Saccharomyces cerevisiae S288C: one gene and its partner. Changing the gene in region 2 together with the main gene of any one other region gives a genetic interaction. Each region holds a gene or a part of one and is shown on either strand. Other genes may lie near its edges.

Evidence for each region. Genes that interact genetically often act in the same process or in processes that back each other up.
Region 1: mutations in BIT2 (region 2) and REX4 together harm fitness more than expected from each alone (negative genetic interaction), as found in Saccharomyces cerevisiae (2 studies listed by BioGRID).

Annotation. Positions count from the first base shown.
Region 1 is NC_001147.6:180,058-182,995, reverse strand, and holds REX4 (putative 3'-5' exonuclease), read left to right. Parts: upstream 1-1,568; coding exon 1,569-2,438; downstream 2,439-2,938. Other genes in the region: AVO1 (Avo1p), read right to left, coding at 1-1,314; Ras GTPase activating protein IRA2, read right to left, coding at 2,687-2,938. UniProt on the Saccharomyces cerevisiae protein: Exoribonuclease involved in ribosome biosynthesis. Involved in the processing of ITS1, the internal transcribed spacer localized between the 18S and 5.8S rRNAs.
Region 2 is NC_001134.8:742,599-746,560, reverse strand, and holds BIT2 (Bit2p), read left to right. Parts: upstream 1-2,162; coding exon 2,163-3,800; downstream 3,801-3,962. Other genes in the region: HSM3 (Hsm3p), read left to right, coding at 1-200; EFM2 (S-adenosylmethionine-dependent methyltransferase), read right to left, coding at 450-1,709.

The sequences.
Region 1 (2,938 bases), on a different chromosome or scaffold from region 2:
TGCATTGAATTCATTGCTATTACTGCGGCTGTCTTTTGAATCCCTGTTCATGACCGCCGTTCCATCATTTGTAGATTCATGTCCTCCCAAATCAGATACTGTTTTGTTTATGTTTGAGGTCACTGTATCAAAATTCAAATCATCTAAATCTTTTTCATTGATATAAGATTCCATATCGGAAATATTGTTGCTTTCCGTTTCCGTCAAACCGTCCCTACTCACCGATCCGTTACCGCTGGCGCTGCTTCCATCTCCATGTATACCTTTATTGGCATTCAGTGAATCAGATTTTTGTCCATCATTTTTATTGTCAGTTAAAAAAATTTTCCCCTTTTGACTTGTGGGGAAATGAGATTTTAACCTTGAAGCACTTCCTATATTGCCATTTGAACTCTCTCGATCATCAAGAATGCTGATGCTGTTTCTGTTATTTGTGTAGGTGTTGTTTTTATTGTTGGACATGCCGTTGATGCCTTTGTGGGCTGGACTTGCTCCAGAACCCTTAGCATCAAAATCATCATCTAACTGAAAAAATTGAGAGTGTATATCGTCACCTTCTTCGTCATCGTCGTCGTCATCATCTTCTTCTTCTAAGTTTTCATCGAAATCGAAGTTCATATCGAATTTACTGCCTTTCTTATTATGGCGAGCACCAGGTGGATGCAAAGTAGATGATTTTGCTCTTGTATTAGTTGTATTCATGACATTTTTATTTCCAGAAGTATTTGAGTGGTCCCTTCGACTTTTGAATATCCTCACGAAAGGAAGCGACGATCTCTTACTAGATTTCTTCTGCATTTCCATCGAACTATTTAAATATGAGTCTTCCTTTGAGGAAGTTTTGTGATGTTTTCCACTGGTATGGTCGTCATCATTTAAAAGAGAGTTCGACGCAGATGAATTAAGTGGATTATAACGAAGTGTTCCATTTTCTTCAACTATCAGAGTATTTTTTGCACTTTTATCTTGCAAATTTCGTGTTTCTTCCTCGTCTCTTTCAGTCTTCTCTGCTCCTATTAAATTCTGGTTAGCCTTTCCTTTTTGGCCTTCATTCTCCCTCATTATCCTCATTTTCCCTAATGAAGCATAGTTTTCCATAAAATCCTTAGATACCGGTGGAGACTCTAGTTCAGGTAACAAGCTTACGCCGTCTGAGTTCATATATAATTCACGGATAGAAGAATCTAAGCACTGCTCTGTGTTGAATTCATCTACGGGTATGTACGGTTTTATTATTCTTTTCATTTGATCTTTCTCCGGACACACTCGTAGAAACTGAGCCCGCAGTTCATTTAATACCGTCACCGTGTCCATTATCGTCTTATTATGGTGTGGTGGGGGTTTTACAAACACTGTTTTATTTAGTTTTCCTGTTCAGTAGCCTGTATCTATTGAGAATTATTATACCGTATATTTTTTGACGCGGGCTGATATGTAAGGTCGGCTAAAAAAAAGAAAAATTTCAAAAGTTAAACTAACCTCATCGCAACCACAATCCATTTAAAGCCTGGTTCTAGAGGCTTCATAGACGTTTACAGATTTAATAAAGTAGATAGCGTACAGTTTTAATGGCTCTCTCTTCAAACTGGCAGGCACTATTAGCCTCCGAAAGCAATCCTACCTCCAATGGAAAGAATAAGCAATCAAATAGGAAAATCAGAAACGTTAAGAAAGTTAGCAAAACAGTAAATGTCAGTAGTACAACCCAATATGCCCCTCGAAAGCGCAAAAACGGCAGTAAAATTATGGACATGGTATATAACATGAACAAGGAGATTAGTAAGCATGAGAAAGACAAGCTCGAGGGAAAAGTGTTTGAATTCAACCCAAATAAAGCAAATACTAGTACTACTATTAAAGAGCCAGTAAAAGTGGGTATTTCGGAAGATACTCGTATTAATAGTAATAAGAGTAAAGAAATTGGGAAATACATCGCCATGGATTGTGAATTTGTAGGCGTTGGTCCCGAGGGTAAAGAGTCTGCGTTAGCTAGAATATCAATCGTAAATTATTTTGGACATGTCGTCCTCGATGAATTTGTTAAGCCAAGAGAGAAAGTTGTAGAATGGAGAACTTGGGTTAGTGGTATTAAACCAGAGCATATGAAAAATGCCATTACATTCAAAGAAGCTCAAAAAAAGACTGCGGATATTCTGGAAGGTAGAATTCTTGTAGGGCACGCTTTAAAGCATGATCTCGAAGCATTGATGTTATCCCACCCAAAGTCACTACTCAGGGACACTTCAAGACACCTCCCATTCAGGAAGTTGTATGCTAAGGGTAAAACACCCAGCTTAAAGAAATTAACCAGGGAGGTTTTAAAAATTTCCATTCAAGAAGGTGAGCATTCTTCAGTCGAAGATGCTCGTGCCACCATGCTATTATATAAAAAGGAAAAAACGGAATTTGAAAAAATTCACAGAAACACTTTCAACTAAGACGGTAGATGAATGGCCCCTTTTATTCTTACAATTAAAATGCATTGGTATGTACATTAGTCTATGTGGCGCTTGAATTTACTGAGCCATTCATTACACGATAGAATATATAAAAATTGTAGCTGTATAAAAGCAACCCACGTAACAAATTGCGAAAAATTAGCGATAAGAAAACCCTAACATGAGATATGTACATTCATGCTTACAGATAGATATTGATATTTCTTTCATTAGTTTATGTAACACCTCTAAGCAGAACATGACATCCTTGATAAAATCATTGTCATTATTCTCTTACGTTCATAGATATCTTCAGGTTTTACATCTAAAGGTATCATCATGTCGGAGTTCTTCGCAAATATACCAGAAGAAGTCACAATCGATAAACCTCTTTTGGTTAGACGTTCAATGGATTCTTCGTGAAGTTTTTCTAACGAATTAGACTCTGAATGCGTCACTAATAAGTTTAAAATATCGAAAGCAAGTGGAACACAATCCGA
Region 2 (3,962 bases):
TGATAGGTGATGGGAGCGCAGGTGCTATTATAGATCTTGAGACTGTGCATTATAGGAATTCTGCCTTGAGAAATTTACTGGACAAAGGTGAAGAAAAGTTAAGTGTATGGTATGAACCTTTATTGCGAGAATACTCCAAAGCAGTTAACGGAAAAAATTATTCCACAGGCAGTGAAACTAAGATTGCAGATTGCAGATGATTATGTTGCATAAGCGCAACTATAAAGGCGGCCTTGATTGTTTAATGTACTACCAGTATTGATTCCTGTCTGAATCAAAAACTAACCTTTTGGCGAGGTGGCCCATTCAGTTTTCTTCTCCATAAATTGTATAAATCAGTATGTAAGGTCTGGCAAGTACTTATAATTCACATTTCAATGTCTATGTAGCATGCATGATTTTTATTATAAAGAAAAACTATTCGCCTAAGCGCGTTCGTTTCTTTCCCACTAATTGCGAACGATTTGCCTATATAAATACTTAACGGCACCCCAATCATCCACACCCTCTGAATGCCGTTCTTCAACTACTTTTAAATCACTCTCTTTTAGTAATAATTTCAAAACCTCTCGTTCTTTGGCGTATTTTGCCCTTAAAGGTATTTCTAGGTGACAGGTCCCTGATGCCGCCAAAAACTTCGATATCATGTTAACTACCCATTCCGGATGCTGAGGCGAATATATCGGGTCGGCGATCAATATGACGTCAAATTCATTTTCATGTCCAAATTTATCTATAAAATCGTGAGGATTAGTCCAATCTAATATCTCTGCTTGAACGAAATCTCCTAAATTATTTAATGACACATTTTTCTTCAAATTCGTCACAATCTCGGGTAAATCCGTCACGAAGATTTCTATATTTTCAGTTCCATAAAGTTCTTTCCATTTTAAGGCCCATGAAAGTCCTACTAAACCAGTGCCCGCTCCTAATTCTAATACTTTAATCTGTTTGATGTCGCTGTTCGCTAACATGTTCACATTAGTGGTATGTAGGTAATCCAGGTGATCTACGACTAATTGTGAAAGTATTAAAGATGATCCCCATGTTTTCCAACCAAGATTATCGGCCGTTAAAGAGGGTTCATGAAGCGGTATGGAAGTGCTTAGATTTCTTAATTCAAAATATCTTACTATGGATGGTTGGGCCGTTCTCCCACAGTTTTCGGATATCCTTGAGCTCAATTCCTTAAGAAGTTCTTGTATGATTTCCTCATTCAATCCGCAACTATTATTGTATTTTTTCAATACACTAGTATAGTAGCCCAACAGTAGTTCTTTGGATACTGTAAATCTCAGCATTGGGATTTTATTGCATATCTTTTCCAACGAGTTTAACCTCTTGTTAGGCCATTCTTCTGTATACCAAGTCAAAAGTCTTTTCAGCAGATCGGGTTCCAGCCCATGACTCTTGCAAACCTCCAGTACAGATTTGTTCTTCCCTGTCTCCTGATTGAAGTTTACTTGTCTATCGGGCTTCAGAAGTATTAGTATACAAAGGATAACTTCTGGCGGAGCATACTTCACGGAGGGCAGATCCAGATTATCGATAATGGTGTCATCGTCGTCACTCTCTTCTTCATCTACAGCCGTTAATATTTCGTCACGTTGCGGTGAGCAAGGATCTTTTGGCTCTCTCTCTGCTAGATTGAACTGTAAAGCCTCAACCTGGATGTCATCAGGGGTGTACAAATCGAGAGGATCAAACATAGTGAAATATCCGCTATGGAACTCCTAACTTGCATGAGTTAGATACTTGAAAAGTAATATACAGATTGCACTACTATTATTTTGTAGCTCATCGCGAAATTGAAGAAAAAATTTACGATTGGAAAAAAAAAAACTACTATCAGAAATAGGTGAACCAATTTTAATGCCTGGATAGAGCTGCATACGCTACTAGCTTAAACCAATATTGGTGTCGCCTGTTTTCCTTTACCCAATCCAATATACCACTATACTGCGAATGAAGGTGTTGAAATAATTTGACAAGAGCACTTTATCCATTTTGCATGCGACCTTTACTAGCAATTTTTCAGCGATCTTTGCGGGCTTTAAAATAAGGTCAAAATTAAAGGGAGAAAGATAGAAGACAGTAAATAAAAAATACAAACCACAATAAGCATAAGTGGCTAGGCGAGTCTTAAACTACAGAGTCAAGCAATGGCAACAGACCTAAATCGTAAAAGAAGTGCTACCTCAGGCTCACTGAGCGTCACGAACCCGAACATAAAAGCAACTAATCGCAAACCAGCTAGAGTTTATAGTGTTTCTTCTGATATAGTACCGCAAGCGCTGACACATCCCGACGAAGATGTGCATCTAAAAACATCCAAATCTCCTCATGATGCCGCTCCTAGATGGTCACAGGTGGGGTTTCAATCTATATTCCATGATGGTTCCAATGCAAGGCGCTCGACGGATTCGATTGAAGAGGAGTACAGCCAAGGCACGGAGAATAACGATGGTCACTCCGAAATAGGTTCATCAAGTAGTAACCGAATGGAGGGGAACACCACGTCTAATGATAGTTTATTTTCTTCCAACTCAAGGGGCAATAAAAGGCGACTGTCCATCTTCACCAATTCAAAAGATAATATGAGAAATCGAAGCAGGAGCGGGTCAAAAAACTACGGCACTGTTATTACCGGCACAAGTAGTAACAACATAAGTAGGAGTGGCTCTAAATTGTTTCATACGAAATCTAATATGAGTGTGAACAGTTTACAATCTTCACTGTCTACAGGACATTCTCATTCAAACAAAGGCAGTAATGTCTTTAGCAAAATGGCAAAAAAGCTTTTACCCTACAAGCCGCATAATTCCATTGGTAAAGACGACGTTGAACCCGTAGTTCCCAGCCCATTCAGTAAATTTCTGCATTCTTCATATGGTAAACATAGGTCACCCGTACAGTTTATCCATACTTCTACTGGAGGCCTTATTGACTCTGGAAAATCTGTATATTCCTTTAACCCTAGCATTAACAACAACCCTAATGATACAGCTCTATCGCTGATCCAAGATGATGCTTTCGACGCGACTAATGTTTCTTTACTACATGATTTACTGAAAAACTTGCCATCCTTGATAGCAAACTATAAAAGCTTCACCGTACAGGAGTTATTTGTTCTGGAGGGGAATATCTGGGGTATATACTGCAGCATAGTTGTGGAGCTATTTAAAAACAAGAGGGTATGGCAATTGCCAGCAAAAATAGAAGATATTGACCGGCTGCTGGAATTTTATATCACTTTGAAAACACAAACCAAGGCTGCCGTAACGCACTCAAGGTTTTTGGCCGAAATCGAGGAATTCATTACCACTTCACTTTACATTTTAGAGAACCAGATTGTGTTCAATTATGCCAATGAGGATACCGTAAATACGGCTTTGAAAAGAGTCGGCATAATCTGGAAGGTGTTTTACCAACAGGTTTACTACGACATGATGGCAGTGTTACTGCCCTTCGAGAAAAGCTTCCAAAAAAATAGTAACTACTGGCTTGACGGATATCTATCTGAACCTTCAAGGTACGCACCGTCAATTGATGTCCTTTTATTAAAGTGTTTTAGAGACTCCATCATTCTTCCGTATTACGAAAGCTTCCTACATACAAATGACGGTGCCAGTAAGAGTTTTCAAAGATATATTTTCAGCGAGGAAGAACAGAACGGCGTCACAGAGGAAGATAAACTGACGCTGCTGCAGTGTTTTGGGATCCTGAATACCATAAAAGGTAACAGCAGAAACCAAAGAATTATTGGTGAACTTCTTGAGGGCATACGCATGAGTATATAATTAAATATTTTATTTAGTAATATACAATAGTGGCATATAGATAGGTGTATTTCCTTTTTCTTGTTCCAAGAATCCGGAAAAACAGATGCTCTTTTCCGCCCTATAAAGGGGCCAATGGGGAAAGTGCAGATCATATTAACTTGCTAAAGAGTCAGAAAGAAC